Linked DNA regions of Arabidopsis thaliana. The protein of the gene in region 2 binds, or shares a complex with, the protein of the main gene of each other region. Each region holds a gene or a part of one and is shown on either strand. Other genes may lie near its edges. A codon is read from its position in the direction of its gene.

Region 1 (8,450 bases), on a different chromosome or scaffold from region 2:
AACAATCGCATCCTTAATCATCTGAAATCGCATCAACAAAGAACACAAAAATCAATTTCTAAATTCCAAAATCAGAATCCGGCTTAATAAGAAACACGAATAAACGAAATCGAATCTCATTTTTACCTCTTCGTAAGTAGGATGAGATGAAACAGTTCTCTTCTTCGGAGCGGCAGCAACAGTCTTCTTCTCCTTCACTTCCTTAACATTCTTCGTCTTTCGTCCTTTCGCTGCAGGCTTCTTCTCAACGGCCGCATCCGTCACCGGCGCATCCGCAGCGGTGTTTCCTTCGATCGTAGCAGCGTTCTCTATTTCCACCTCTGACATCGTCTTCTGAACTTAAGATCGGAAAATTTGATTGCAAGAAAGCGTAAATGTAATTTCGAAAGTGATTATGAGGATTGTGAAGAGGATCATTGGAAACGTCCGATTTATATAGTTAGATGTGTATTAGACGGCAATTCATATCTGGCTTCTGATTGGTTAAAACAATGACTACGCGGATCGCTACTCTTTTCTCAGGTTTGAATATTAATCGTTGGATCAAATTTTATCGACGGCAGAGAAAGAAGGAGTGTAGATGGTGGGATGAGTAAGTTAGTGGATGTGGATTAGATGCTTTGGTCATATTTGTTGTGCTTTTAGACTCGATTCATTTGACCATAACTCGTGATATACTCGATGAAATTCGTTTTTGTTTTTTGCATTGTGTAGAAAATTCTGTGAGGGTTCGTTTGATTATCTAAACGTGAAAAATGGATTATTTTGTAATGAGATATTCGGTTATGAAGCAAGATATGTCAAAACTATTGTTTTTCTTGCTAGTATTACAGTATATTTGGTTTTTCGAATAATGCTAAAGAGAATTTCGATGAAAATTATGTTAATATGAAACTTGACTAATCAAGGAGTGAACCGAACCAATAAACGTGGGATTTCAATTACTTTTTGATCCAAAATCATTTGAATGAATACTACCTAAGATGACCATCCTCTAGAATATGTTGCACACTACTTGTTGATGTGTCATGTGTCTATGTTAAAAAGAGTCCGGATTATTCATAGATTGTGATTTACTAGTTTAAGTATGTAATCAACCAATTTTAATTGATATTAAAACACATGTATAACTTTCCTTTAGTTATGATGCATAGATTACGTTTCTTAAGAGCAACACATGTACAAGGTCATCCGAGAGGCAATCTAGTCTAGGTGCAATCTCTTCAATGATTTTTTTTTGTTTTCTTTTGGATATCGTTAAGCATCATGGCTATATGTAAAGCATGAATTAAAAAGAATCTGTTAAATTGCATACTCGTAACATTTTTTGAACATCATAACAATTTGTTATATAAATATGTTACTCATATTAAGCATGATGGTTGTCACCACATAGTGGTACTCACGATAACACAAAATAGTGATAATGAACTTCATTCGTCTTTTGTCAGATAAGTTTTATGTAGTTAATTTGGTAGTTTTCTACCTCCATATAGGTCATCACAGTTCTACTACATTCGTCATCCACAGTCAACACTTGAACAGTAATTCTTGAAAACCTTAGTTTCCATAGAAATGATGTAGTACCCAAATAAATGCATATAAATCAATCTAAAACATCTTAAACTACAACATTTGATTAGAAAGTGACAACAATGTTACATGCAAGTCCAGAGAGGACACATAGTAGAAGAAGAAGAAAGAAAAGGGAAACAAATTTTGTATTTTCTTGCACAGAAAAGCGACTCATGAGTGTATATTTCGTCTATAGAAAAAAATATTAATACTAATTTCACAACACATTCGACTGCTCCTGTAGTTCTAGTAATGTTCTCTCTTGTAATGCTTTGAGAGATTCCATAAACCGAAAAGAAAAGATTACCCTGTCTCCACAGAATCTTCTTCTGCAACAACATGAGTCTTTAAAGTCCTTTACATGTTGCACTCTGGTAGCTTCCGAGCATAGACAAGAACCATCGTAAAATCCTTTGCAGAAGAACCTACCAATGCAGCAAACCGTTGGTGGTTTGAACTTTTCTGGAGCCATAGATCCACTAAATTGTAAAGCGTCAGCGTTGGGATCACCGCTTCTCCCATACACTTTATCTCTATCTGAACATAAACCATAAGTATGTCCATTTTTTATCAACCAAACATATAAGTTCCATTATATTCAAACGTTCTATCCTTTCTCGTGCCATAGTGCATATAAAGACCCTTACCTCATTTTCACTCTCGAGATCTAGCTTCCTCATGAGGTACTTTTGGATGAAAGAAACTGTTGTATTTCCATCCCTATCACAGAATGAGACATTGGATTATCTTCCCCAACAAAAGAATTCCTCATAACAGAAAAATGAGGGACTATGTAAGATGCAGCGACAACACAGGATATATAAAACAAAGAATACCTAAACTGTAACCTACCTTATTCTCAAAAAATTTGCTGGAATTTGAGGTAAAGAAGTTCCTCCTTCCCTGTAACCAGTAAGCCCTTGTCAATATACCAAGAGAAGAGAAACAAAATGAAGAAAGAGAGAAAGATCATGAAAGGAAATAGTTTCAGATATGAGAGCAAAAATCTCACTGATCATTGGACGCCACAAGTGAGAACCAAACGGGACCATTTCTCCTCTCCTGTTTTGCACTTGACTCATCTGGTTGTGGCAAATTCCTTGAATCGCCTAAAGTGGTGGCAGACCTTTTGCGTTGAGTTGTACGCATTCTTTTAGGAGTAACAGTTTCTGATGTTGTAGGATCACCATTATTACTCTTGTCATCCTCACGTTTACATTTTCTCTTTTTATTCTTAGTTTTGGTTTTACTCCCTTGAAATTGATTGCGAGATACATTCGCGTGCTCAGATTTTGAACCTGACCCTTGAGAAGCAGAAGACTTCAAGGGCTTTGTCCCATTTGCCACTTCAACCAGAAAGTTCAAAGGTTTCCAATCCATTTTGGAATCCCAGGGTTCATCACCATCCTTGTTTTCTTTATTGGAGATGGACTCTTTACATGACTGCAAAAAACAAAATAACTCAAATGAATGTGAGACCAATAACAGTATCAAATATTTTTACTGAATATTTACTTTTGAAGTGTACCAAACAAAAATAAATATGTAACCAAATCATGTCAAATATGAAGTCATTACGAGAAAATAGAGTAGTTCAGTGATCACCTTCTTTGACTGTCTTTTATTCTGAGTGAATTTGTTAAGAGTGTCGGGTGAGCTTGTGCTCTCCAGAAGCTCATCCCCAGAAGATTCTTCCTTCTTCACAGTTCTCTCAGCCAAAGAACCATTACGTAACTCTTTTCTTGTAGGTGCTTTAGTTCTTCTTCTCGTTGTTCCAGCTTGTGCTGACACCATAGGTGTGCTCACAACCAAAGAAGATATAGATCTCTCCTTCCTCTTTCCTGGTAAGGACACAATTCCAGGAGCTTTCACTTTTCTTCGTTTTAGAGCAAAGATTTTGGCCCTCAAGTCTTGCAAATTGTGGTCAGGCCTAAAACCATGCACACAAGTGGCTCCCATCAGTACAATAACGAGTAAGAAAAAGGAAAGTACAAAAGAGATCTATTTAGATTCTCCTACAACATCCTATAAATGGTCTCTCTCTCATAAAAACCATTGTGCTACGTGTATTAAATGAACAAGATTCCAGAGATTGTGTTATAGCAGTTCATTTCACCAACAAGAAAAGCAATTGGATTGAGTCCACAAATTAGATGAACAAGGAGCAAAGAAATTTAACCAAACTAAACCATATTTTGATGAGAACTGGTAGAGTCTGAAATACAGAACACGAATAGCTTACCTCAGCTTCTCCAATGGGGTGCTACCGAGGTCGATATTGCATACGGGACAAGTCTCTATCTCATCCTCCGTGATCTTCTCATAGATGCATTTCCTACAAACTGCGTACGAAAGTAATCTAAAAAGTTATTCCATTCCAGTAGATAGCAACTAACAACATGACTTATAATAAATGTGAGCAAATTTCATACTTGGTATAAGAAAAAACTCAAATTGAATTGCATACAAGTAAGAAGCTGAAACCCACAAGGAAACTATACATGAAAATGCTGAATCAACTATCACTAGAAAGACGAAGAAGGAGAGATTGAAGCAGTCAAAATTGCATATTCTTTTTGGTCAACAAAAACTATTCATTGACCCACTTTTCAATTGTATCGATTATAGGACGAGACGAAGAAGACAGAGCTATAATATAATCATCCAAATTGAGAAGAAATCAAAGCCAATGTCAGCGAATTTCGAAACATTTGGTGGGTTAAAAAGAGGAACTGACATGTGTGGAGGCACTCGGAGATAGTGGTGGCGTCACGGAGGATATTGTCGCAGATAGAGCAGCTTAAGCATGCCCTCATCGTCTCCTTCTTCACCTTAATCATCATCTTTCTCTTTATCTGTTGGGCTTAATCACTCACAACGTGCTATCCCCAAAACTGCATGTGGACGAAAACGGCGAAGAAGTGTCGTTTCTTTCGCTCGGTCGCTGGTGATCTGAAGAATAAATGTTATGGTGCGAGAGAGATGGAAGAAGAATTGACGTACGATTCGGACAAGAAGTGGCCGTCGTCGTCTATTAAAATTTAAGAGACGCGATGTGTCACTTCTTTTTATTTTATTGGAACAAGGGTTTCTCTTTTTATCTTTGTGTTCTGTCTTAAGAGCTCTCTCGTCGACAAGAAAACGAGCGCTCAAAGACGTTTTTTTTTGGGTCAAAATCTTTGTGTTACTTTAATTAGGAAAACTAGGTCAAACATTCTTTATTTTGGTTAATCTAATTAGGAAAGAAGAGTTTTGTAAAAAAAAAAAGTTGAACGACATAAATTTCTTTTCAACTTTTTGGGTGAGAAATTGTTATTTGCTATCCTAATATTTTGAAAAGTAAATGATGGTGAACTCTTCATATTATAATCAGATGATGGTAAAAATGATTTGTATAACTATAATAATGGATTTCGTTTACATTAATCAATGAATATGGAACATTCGAATCAACGACCAAATGTAACGATTCGTCATTCGTATAATGGGGTACGAGATAACATCAGATAAGAGGTTTTGTTCCAAAGGGCCTGTAGAAGGCTTATGTACCCATTCGCTAATCGAAGCATGAAGGCTAATAAGGTTTCAAACTTTCAATATTGACACCTCGATTTTTAGTAGCATACAGATGAATGGTGATTAGGAAAAACAGAGAAATTTTCATATGTACGTATGTAGTTTTATGTGTCCTATGCTGATTAGTGTTTTAACCGACGTCAAAGTTAAGATTTTCGGCAACAATTTGATGATACACTAGCTAGCGATTTTGATCATTCAAAGCTTTGCGCATATTAAGTATCTTTATATGATACTGTCATGATTTATTAAACCGAGTGTTATGTACTCCATAATCTACCTCCACCATTTTACACATAATAAATGAAAAGACCCGTCGTTCCAATAGCGAATTAAGCAAATTGCCAACAACTTCATTAAATAAAGAAAAAACCCAAAATGTAATCTTACTTGGCTCAAAAAAAAAAAAGCATCCATAGTCAACGTTAACACCCATTTGACTTAGTTAAACATTTTTCGTTAACCAGTTAACATTTTTGTTGAAAAATAATGAACAGAATCGGCAAAAGTCATTTTTCGTTACAATTCTATTTATGCCATAATTTTTTTTGGCCGACATGCTAGATATCTTTTTCATAATAATAGGCTAATCATCCATTGATATGAGACTGAAGTTCCTTTCTTGTCTTCTAAGAGGAGGGAGGAAAAACTTTATCCACGTGTCTTCGTCTGACTGGTGATTGATAAAATTTGCAAAGAAGACTGATCACATTAAATTACTTACAGCTTCATCAACGGCATAATCACATGTCTTCACATGTACACCTGCCCGCACCTGATCCGCATCACTGCTTCCTTTCACCCTAATAACATTTGACATGTCAACACGAACACCCAAAAAACTATATACTATAAAGTTATAAACAAATTAATTCGTTCGACCAATAACATTAATTTAATTTTATAGAGACCTAACACAAATTAAACAATGATTATTTCTGTTAATTAAATATATATAAGTGAGCACAATCCCCCGATGATGCATGAAGAAGCTCTGAATCTAAAACTCCTCTCTCCGACCCCAAATCCAGAAATTCAAGCGAGGAATAGAATCTCCCACTAGAGAAAAGCAATCCCAGAAACCCTAAGTTCTTCACGTTTCGTTCTTTTGCTTGTTGATCAAGCAGGATATCTCCGAGATTTGTGAGTCTCTTGCTACTTCTTCCTGGAGAACGATTCAGGGTTTGATGTGATAAGAATAGTCATCGAGGAAGATAGATTTGGGGATTTTTTTTTATTTGTAGATTCATGAAACAAATTCGTCGATGGCAGAGGATTTTGATCCTCGCTCTGCTATCGATATCTGTATTCGCTCCGCTTATTTTCGTATCGAATCGGCTTAAGAGCATCACTCCCGTTGGTCAGTTTCGTCTCCTCTCCTTCTTATTTTCATTTCATTGTACTTGACGATCGTGTGGAAATGCTTGATTGCTTTGATTTTAGATTGATTCACATGAAATTCGCTTGCTTTTGTTAGAAGTTGTCTTGGTCTTGGGATTTTTTCATCTGACATTTGTTTTGATTTTCCATTGCCGATTGTCTTCTTGCAGGTCGTAGAGAATTTATTGAAGAGTTATCCAAAATTGTATGTGTTCCTTAGTCTTCAATCTCTGGATTCATCTGTTTTCAGCATGCTGTTGATTTTGTGCCAAGTTTTCAGATCTCAGTCTTGTTTTATCATTCTCTTTATGCTTTATATTTCTCGAGCAATACACTGTTGTTGACATGCTACCATTATTCTGCAGAGATTCACGACAAATGACCTTAGACTTAGCGCTATTGAACATGTAAGTTGGAAGTTACAGGTTCCTCTAGGTCATCTCCTTAAAACCTTTTGACCATGCGTTTTGTTGAAGTTTTTTCTCTCTGTGATTTAGGAGGATGGAGAAGGCTTGAAGGGGCCAAGGCTCATTCTCTTCAAGGATGGGGAGTTTAATTCGTCTGCTGAAAGTGATGGTGGTGGGATCATATTTTCAATCTTGCTTTGATTTGCTCTGATGTCATTAACTCCTCAGATTTTTTATCTGTCGTAATCATGGGTTGTAGGTAATACTTACAAAAACAGGGAAGAACAAGTGATTGTTTCACAGAAGATGACAGTTAGCTCTGATGAAAAGGTGTGTATATATAAATACAACTGATTTGAAGATAACATGAACTTGATCAGTCCAGCTGATATAAAGTAACATGAACTTGATGATTGCTCAGGGTATGGAATAACTCCGATATTGAATCCTAGAATCAGATTACAAGTCATTGCGGTCCATGTTGATTAGTTTATCTAAGGAATAGAAAAGCCAAGTTTCACTTTCCATCAAATTATTAGATGTTTCATGATTACAATTTATTGGGTTTTTTTTGTGTCAGGGTCAAATTCTACCAACAGTCAACCAACTTGCTAATAAAACGGATTTCAAGCCCCCTTTATCTAAGGGTGAAAAGAACACAAGGGTTCAGCCCGACAGAGCAACAGATGTGAAAACGAAGGAGATCAGAGACAAAATTATTCAAGCTAAAGCCTACCTGAATTTCGCTCCACCTGGAAGTAACTCTCAAGTTGTGAAGGAGTTGAGAGGTCGGCTGAAAGAGCTGGAACGGTCTGTTGGTGATGCAACAAAGGACAAGGACTTATCAAAGGGGTAAGCACAACTGCTTGATTCAAAAGGAGAACATACCATAATTGCATTCAGAAATTTGCTGTTACAACTACAACCTTTTAGTGCCAAAAGTCGTGCTGTTTAAGAATATTATTTTAGTAACCTCTGACATGATTGTTTCTTTCAGCGCTCTCCGCAGGGTGAAGCCCATGGAAAATGTGTTATATAAGGCTAGTCGTGTCTTTAACAATTGCCCTGCCATCGCTACCAAACTCCGTGCCATGAATTATAACACAGAAGAACAAGTTCAGGCGCAGAAAAATCAAGCAGCGTATCTAATGCAGCTTGCAGCAAGGACCACCCCAAAAGGGCTTCACTGTCTCTCAATGCGGCTGACATCAGAATACTTTTCACTGGATCCTGAAAAAAGGCAGATGCCTAACCAGCAAAATTATTTTGACGCTAATTTCAATCATTATGTTGTCTTCTCTGACAATGTTTTGGCTTCTTCAGTCGTTGTTAACTCTACGATATCTTCATCAAAGGTATCATGCATTTCTTATACAAATTTCTACTTGGTTATCATTATATGTTATACCTAATTTTAGAGTGTCTTACACTATATCTTCTCATTTACTTCCGCCACTTATTAATGTGGCTTCTGATTGCTGTTTGCAGGAGCCAGAAAGAATAGTCTTCCAT
Region 2 (7,880 bases):
TGTATATAAAAAGGATAATTCGTGTTGACCATGTATTACAGAATCTTGTTAGATCCGATTTAAGTTCTTTATCATATATAGTTGGGGACTTGGGGGAGCTTGTAAGTAACGTTTACGAAGAAGATTGGACGGATATCACTTTGAATACCCAAAACTAAGATTTTTGTATTGTGAATTTGTGATCTTCATGCTGGCTTTACTTGGGATCGCCCTTCTTGATATTACATACATGCATGATCACATTTATAAATTGATTTGTATTGATTTTGAATATTGATCATTGTTATTATTATTATCATCAACATGCATTAATTAGCACAAACCAAAACACTAGGCTACAAATCATTATCGTCGAATAAATATTCAGTCGATGAGTTTAAAATTTAGTTAAATTCAGTCGATTGTCAACTATTAACATTTCATGAATTTCTTATTGAGTATGATGCTAAATAAATAGTATTTTTTTTTTTAAAAAATAAAAATATTTGATTATTGTCGCAAATTTGATTGAAAAATTTAGATTTGGATTTAGAGATGATTTGTGACAATCTTGATGGTTAATTATAAAACTTACCAATTCTAAGGCTTGCGATCACATTTACTTGCCCTTTAGAACTTGGAAAACATGTTGGCTCTTTACAATTCCGGCCAAATGAGAAGACTATCACTTTGACATATCACATAATATTGGATAATAATATTCTTTAAAATTATGAAAAACAATATCTTAAGACAGATAAAAGACCTAACAGAAGATTAAAAACATATTTGTTCAAAATTCGGTTCGAAGCTTAAAGATTTGACTAAGTCTAACATATACAAACCCCATGACACAACACAATTGATGACACAACCCAGTTTTTTTTTTTTTAATATGAATAATAATAATATTATTCAAACAGTTTGCTACTCTCTCCCTCAACTTCTTGAAATCCCTTTCTTGAGATCTAAAGAGAGAGTTTTGTATGCTTTAAAATTAAGAAGGTTAAAGAAAAAAAGAGAAGAAAAGAAAAAAAGTTGATTAACATATTGATTAAAACATGAGAACCAGAGTCTCTCTGAGAGATCATCATCATCATCATCATCAATTGATCAGCATCACTGTCTTCCTTTCTTTGCACAGCAAGGCGGGCATTTATACTGCTTGATGCTCTCTGCTTTAGCCGGAGTTATCTTGACGCATTTTCCATGGTACCAACGTTCACAAACATCACAGCAAATCCAGAACTCCTCATTTGTGTAATGACCTCCACAGCTTCCACAGAGAGTGTCTCCATGCTCGTCTTCTTCTTCCTCCTCCTCATAGCTCTCTTCCATTAGTTTCGGTGTTGAGCTCTTTGTCTGCCCGTCTATTGATCTCTGCTAATTACGATTTTTGATTTCAAAGAGGGAAACCAGATAACAAAAAAGAAGAAAGGAGGCTCCTTATTTTGTGTACCTTAGTGCCATTTCTGGATTTGCTTCCTGAGTCCGAGCTTGGCTTGTTGTCTTTCATGGCTTTCCTACCAGTCACTACATCGAAGAGAGTTGGGAGATCGTTGATCAGACTGAATAACCGCTTCCTGCAAATCAAAAGAATAATATAACTCCATGAGTGGACAACACATTGAAAAAGGCAGCTAAGATAAGCTAAGAACTAGATTAGCAAGCGAAAGTGAGGAAAAACGAACCAGAATCTTCATATCAGTACAACACACAATTGTGATGTTTTATCTAGCATTATTTGTTTGCAGCTCTGTCGGGTTAAATTCTCTATCCTTGGAAATGCATCTTACGAAATGCTTTTTACTAGTCTAGTGTAAATAAGATAGAGGACTAAAATGGTAGAGGATCACTTTAGAGACTTGTTAATGGTATAGTGAAACTACTGGTTGAGAAAACAAAGTCCAGTTTCTTGCACCTTTAATTGAAACCTATCTAAATGCCAACAACTACTTCTCTCTTGAAGAACAATGAAACAGATAATAACCAAAATAACATTGTTTTCTAGAATATATGACAGACAGACAGTAAAATGATCTCATTAGTACTAATCAAATAGCAATTTTTTTTGTCAAAATTTAACTTTCACAAAACCTTTGTCAGTAAAGTTCTTTGGATTCCATAGTTACTAAGATGGGTGTTCAGATGTAACAATGAAATGGTGAAATTCAGCACATGCGACCACAGAATATCCGTTTTCAGATTTCATAGAATAGCAAATACCAGGCTTTTAAAATTAGGGAGGATAATCAAGTTTCAAGTTTAGCCATTACAATATCCAAAAGAGCTGAGAAAAAGTTTAGACAGATGAAGTCATGCAACAAACAATACTCCATAGATATGAATGACGAATAGCGAAAAAAACAAAACAAAACAAAACTCATTTCACGCAAATTCAAAGACAATCTCATTCCAAACGAACTCCATCATCATCACAAAGTTTCAATTTTTACTTCACATGAGAAGAGCCAGGATGGAAAACAACTATGGGGTTTCATGTAAGAACAACACAGAATCCATTGAAATCAAGTAAAAGTTGGAGACATGGCTTAAGAAAACACAAAACAATGAGAATGCAGAATCAAAATGTTGGGAAAAAGAGAAATACCTCTCATTGCGATTAAGACGGGCTCCAAAGTAGAAAGAAACAGAGAGCAACCAACAATCACTGTGAACAGCAACAAGAGAAAGCCAATCTTTCCTCTGCATACCATCTCTAGCGAAATTGATACCAAGAGCAGGCTCAGGTAGCTCCGGAGGCACTTCCTCTGCTGGTAGATTCACTTCCCATGACTCATTAGGGTGTCCGTACAAACACAAATTCTCCTTTTCTATAACCACAAACACCCAAAAATTGAAATCAAATCTCAATAAAACACATAAAAGGGTATCTAAAAGTCGAAATCTTTCATACCCGGATCGCATTGAGAGTAAAAATCATCAACATCTGGAAAAAATCACAAAAACGAACAAGTTAAAGGACGAATCCAAAGGCATTACGAAGAAATCTGGGAAATTTAGAGAAAGAGAGAGAGAGAGGATTTAGACCTTTAGTGAGAGCACGAAGAAGAGCGGCACGACGAGCGGAATAATCTTTGAAGATCTCTTCAACGGTGCGAGGGTTAGAGGAAACGGCTGCGGCGGCCATATCTCTACAGATTTTTATAAGATTTATAGATCAGTACTAGTTGACAAGGATCGATGTCTGTATCAATGGTTTTTGAGACCCGATGCGTTCGGGCATGAAGAGAGAGAGAACAATAGATATGGAAGGAGATGGAGAGAAGCAGACGGAACAAGAAGGAGAAGAAAAATAAGAGAGAGAGAGAAAATAAAAACTTTATTTTTATTTTTGGGAGTTTGGTTGCGTCAGCGAAAAGGTTTGGTAGTAGACGAAGATGCGTCGCTTTTTAGGTAAATGGCATTTTAGTTGGGCCCTTAAGTGTTAGGTTTTAGGCCCAAATAAGTCCAATCTCCTAAGCGACTTTTTTGTTATCGGCCCAAATTTAGTTACTTTGTGATTTTACCTTCAAAACACTAAACCCCTGTCTGGAGGAGTGTTATGTGATGAGTTTCAGACATTTGTTAATGTCTGTAAAATGTAAACAAGAAAAAAAGAAATTACTTGAACACAAACTTGGTGTGTTTCTGTGATTTAAGATTTAGATAAGTATAAACTTTAAAATGGTAACGTTTTTCGAGCGAAACTGAATCAGATTATAGCAGAGACACTTGTAATGTAAACAATCTAAAGCAAAGCTTTATCACATTAAGACAGTGAATTATGTGAAGATAGGGTCTTGTTGTTGTTGTTGTGTGTGTTGAAATGTTTAGTCCCATTGTTCTTCCCAGAAATAAGTCCATTCTGAAGAATTTACTGTCTGTTTGCCATCTGCTGATACAAGATCATAAGGAGAGTCATCTGCGAATTCTGTTGGCATTGATTTCCAGTGAAGTGATGGATGCCATTCCGCTTCTTTAACCACTCTTAGTATCTCTCCCGCTACTATTTTGCTTCCTTGTGCTGACAAATGAATCCCGTCTCTGTAACAAACCAGACTATACCGTTAAAACATTTCAATGAACATCGTCGATACTCCATTCCCGGTTATCGCATTTGGAAACTCTGAGAAAGTCATATATATCAAAGGTCTCTCTATATTTCTTCAGAACTCAAAAAATACTTACGTGAAGCAAACAGTTTTCCAGTCATCTGCTTTCTGAAAAGTAGAGAAGAGATCAACTACTTCTAGGCCGAGTTCTTGGCACAGCTCTACACAAGCATCTGAATAAGTCTTGCAGAGGTCGTTTGTGCGGATTACCTCGCTCAAGTATGGGCTTGTGAGAGAAAAAGAAGCACATCTATATTAATAAGGCCGGAGAGAATAAGGAGAAACAGAGAGATAGTGAAGAAATTCAGGGAAGTTACCTTTGGTTCTGGCGAACTTTAGCCTCATCCACTGGAGGAGAACTAAGAAATATGATTCGGGTGAAGTCTGAAAGGCTCTGAAACAGAAAATAGAGGAAGAAATTAGCACTTGAAATGGCTTTTAAACGTGACTGACAGGAGATAAATAATAAATCTAACAATTATAAAGGAAGTATAAACCTGAAGATGAAGAGCGATCTTCTTCATGTTATCAACATATTCAGTAAGTGGTACATGAGGTCCTAGTCCAGACGAGTGAGGCGCCATTGAGTCGTTTCCTCCAAAATAGACAATGACCAGAGAAGGTTGTACTGCAGCATCCTGCATCCGTAACAAGTTGCAATTTTTAGGCGACAAAGTGGAAGAAAACAGAAGCTTTGAATATGATGGTTTTCTACAAAGTTAAGCTCATTCTACCAAATTTTTTTTATAATGGGTAAGAGAAAACAGCTTGAGATATCAAGAAAACTCGGATGAAACAGATTATGCTTAAACAGAGACATCTCCCTTGAAACAGATGCAGAGTCTTGTATGCTAAATCAAAGACTATGCAACTAAAATAGCCACTTGTGTAATCCTTTTGGGGTACATTTTGAACTAGTAAAATAATGTTCACAAAGAATTCTTACTAGGTCAAATGATAAGCACACATCAACCTATACGGACTAATATAAAGACCTATAAAACGCTGAATCTTTATCATAATCTAGTATTGAAGAAACTAATAGTCTAAAGAGAGAAGAAGCAAAAAAAAAGGGAGTTGAAAGAGTACCTTGGGGAACACTTGGTCGACAACTTCCAAAGCACGAGAAGAGTTCCATCCATAATATCCTCGCAGAATGATGTCGGCCTATACACATAACATCCAAATGGAGAAATAACATTATGGTTCGCATAATACACGCTTACAATCGTAAAACAAAAGACGAATTTCAATGAACAAATGTATAGTTAGGGAAAATAATAAATAATACAGAGTAATTAGAATAAGCGATCTACTTGTAGAATCAACGCTCTAGTAATCTAACCAAGGATGAATATCGAATCCAGAAGCCACAGAGAGAGAGAGATTGATGAATCTGACGATACCTTACGAGCGTAGACCTCGGAAAGAATGGCGCCCCAACCACCATGGCCAAAGCTCATCTGAACAATGGAAGATCCAAACAAAACGATCTGAGGCCGCGCGGGTCCAACCATTGTCTCCTTCCTAACCTCTCTGTTCCTCTGTTTCAGAGCTGAAGACAGGCCGTTCTTTCTCCCACCGCAAAAGCTAATCGTCCGGTGAAGATGAACAAACCTGAGCGATCCTCTCTCTCACTCTTTGTCGTAAGGTGCGAGATTAAATGCATGAACGTCTCGTTTTTTCTTCTTGTTTTTTGATTATTATAACAGACAAATAAAAGAAGAAAAAAACAATAAAAAAACAAACAAAACAAAACCTTTTGTTATATCATCACGTGCATTACTGTTATTTCCTTTTTTAAGGATTTGTTTCTCATACTAGTTTTCTCTTTTTGTTTCTCAAAGTATTTTTTACTTGAAATGCTCTCTACCAAAAAGTAAAATGATGAGAAATCTTTTCTTTCTTTTTCAATATATATGAAAATCTTAGTTTAAGAATGAATATCTCTTGTATAAGCTTTGGAAAGAAACAAAGTCAAGAAGAATAGGGTACTAAATAAAGAGATTGGGTAGAGAGAGAGATTTATGAGCAATAATTCAAATGATATGGTCGTTGGTTGGTAAGTAAAGGAACACTGAATTAAAGGAGCACCAAATATAGATCAACCATATTTTTGAACTCTTCATTCAATGTCTCACCTTCTTTCTTTATATGTTATATATATGGATGGTTCAACAAATAACCACGTGAACATGTTGAAGTGATTACATTGAACGTTTAGTAACTAGCATCTATCATTGGTCATAGTTTCATAAGAGTATATATAATACAGAAATGAAATAAATTTCATTATAAAAACAAAACATATTGCTGTCAAAACTGTTTTTAAGACCAAAGACTATAATAATAATGTAACTGCTCAGGTTAGTGAGTGAACTTAGAGAACTCAATGGAGAGGGAAAAAAAAAAACTAAGAAGAAGAAAAGAAAGACTAACTCAGCAACTCAAAAATCTAGTGCTCCGGATTTGGATGAGCAGCTACCAGATGTGCCATACGATGTTCCACTGGACCCGTCTACAGGGGCTTGATTCAGACACTCTAGAGCCAAGAATCTTCTCTTCTTCAAGCTCATTGAGAAGGTTTTTGCCTCAAGAATTACAGGCACCTGTTCCATTAAACAATTCAGATCAAACCAGTGGTTTAGGACCATAGTGAATCCATTTTTTCAACGGTTTCTAAGCAAGTTCATGTCATTCTCATCAAAAGAGAGAAAAATGGATTAGATGGGGATTTCTGGATAAGTTGTTCAGTAGACATTTTGAATTTCATCAGACTTTTATCCATTGAATATGTTTTTTTGACTTGGCAAAATACAAAGGGGTTCTTGCTTACAGGTTTCAGGGTAATAATATCCCTATATAAATTGAGAATTACACAATTTGTAAATACCTGTGTGTTGATACGAGCAACCTTGTGTATGTTGAGGAATCCATTTATATCCTTGTAGCCAGTGAGGAGTTTCTCCAATTCCTTGTCACCATCTGGAAAAAAAGGCAAGGATACTTGTCAAGAAACAACTATGATAATCTATTTATGAATAAGAAAATCAGGGAAAGCAAACCTGGGATTGCTTTGATAGAGAGCAAGGTATCTGCCATATGCTGCAGTCTTTTAGAGGAAGATGGGGAGAGCAGGGAAGGCGGGAAAGTAACAATGGCTACCGCATTTGAAACCATAAGCATACTTTTCAGCAATCTTATGAATGAGAGCATGTCTGATTCCTGTGTTGATAGAAACAAAATGTCAAAAAATCAACAATATAATACATAACGACGTGATACTGGTACAAGCTTCAGCTATCATTAACTATAGAGTCAAGAGAATTTTCGTTAGAAAGCATTGTTGACTTGATATAGGCTAAAAGTTCCAGAAAACTCTCCTAATTACCTTTTCAGAATACTCACACAGGGGAGAGCAAAAAGACTGGATTGCGATGCGGCCAATAGATGCAATGTTACTGCTGTTTCTGTGGGAAACAATACACAGGTTCTTAAGAAAAAAAGGACAATCTACTTAACAAAGCCAGTAAATAAGAGAAGAATTTGAACAATAACTGACTCAGTAACAAACTAAAACAATATAAACAAACTGAGCTTGGAAGTATAAGAGAGATGTAAAAAGAATTGAGCTTGAGCAGAATTTGCTGCATAGGTATGACCAACAAAATTTATTGATTCGAAACTAGAGCGAGTAATTGAGATCAAATAAGAAAGGATGCCACACAACCTTGGAAATTTTGATAAAAACGTAGCACAGTGGTCCTGAGCAATGGAAAGATCTGA

The links.
Region 1: the proteins of AL2 (region 2) and DRIP1 are in contact, whole or in part, in a crystal structure (PDB 5Y53), measured with the Arabidopsis thaliana proteins. Residues at the interface, in NP_187729.1 of Arabidopsis thaliana: Pro64 (codon at 2,757), Ala65 (codon at 2,754), Glu66 (codon at 2,751), Glu67 (codon at 2,748), Val68 (codon at 2,745), Pro69 (codon at 2,742), Pro70 (codon at 2,739), Glu71 (codon at 2,736), Glu74 (codon at 2,727), Leu77 (codon at 2,718); in NP_172162.3 of Arabidopsis thaliana: Thr279 (codon at 2,715), Gln280 (codon at 2,712), Arg281 (codon at 2,709), Lys282 (codon at 2,706), Arg283 (codon at 2,703).

What each region holds. Positions count from the first base shown.
Region 1 is NC_003070.9:2,077,290-2,085,739, forward strand, and holds DRIP1 (DREB2A-interacting protein 1), read right to left. Parts: upstream 4,809-8,450; 5' UTR 4,419-4,808; coding exon 4,313-4,418; exon of another isoform or gene 3,918-4,312; coding exon 3,818-3,917; intron 3,506-3,817; coding exon 3,181-3,505; intron 3,019-3,180; coding exon 2,588-3,018; intron 2,479-2,587; coding exon 2,428-2,478; intron 2,296-2,427; coding exon 2,223-2,295; coding exon of another isoform or gene 2,113-2,222; coding exon 1,933-2,112; 3' UTR 1,607-1,932; downstream 1-1,606. Other genes in the region: AT1G06760 (winged-helix DNA-binding transcription factor family protein), read right to left, coding at 1-21, 127-327; GAUT6 (galacturonosyltransferase 6), read left to right, coding at 6,400-6,550, 6,702-6,736, 6,897-6,938, 7,029-7,110, 7,198-7,268, 7,519-7,790, 7,936-8,293, 8,427-8,450. UniProt on the Arabidopsis thaliana protein: E3 ubiquitin-protein ligase that acts as a negative regulator of the response to water stress. Mediates ubiquitination and subsequent proteasomal degradation of the drought-induced transcriptional activator DREB2A. Functionally redundant with DRIP2.
Region 2 is NC_003074.8:3,507,289-3,515,168, forward strand, and holds AL2 (alfin-like 2), read right to left. Parts: upstream 3,371-7,880; 5' UTR 3,131-3,370; coding exon 3,031-3,130; exon of another isoform or gene 2,930-3,030; coding exon 2,897-2,929; coding exon of another isoform or gene 2,814-2,896; coding exon 2,591-2,813; intron 1,563-2,590; coding exon 1,439-1,562; intron 1,360-1,438; coding exon 1,099-1,359; 3' UTR 708-1,098; downstream 1-707. Other genes in the region: AT3G11210 (SGNH hydrolase-type esterase superfamily protein), read right to left, coding at 3,813-4,026, 4,171-4,320, 4,412-4,488, 4,592-4,732, 5,184-5,261, 5,501-5,611; ELO1 (Paxneb protein-like protein), read right to left, coding at 6,542-6,703, 6,988-7,079, 7,160-7,319, 7,486-7,564, 7,825-7,880.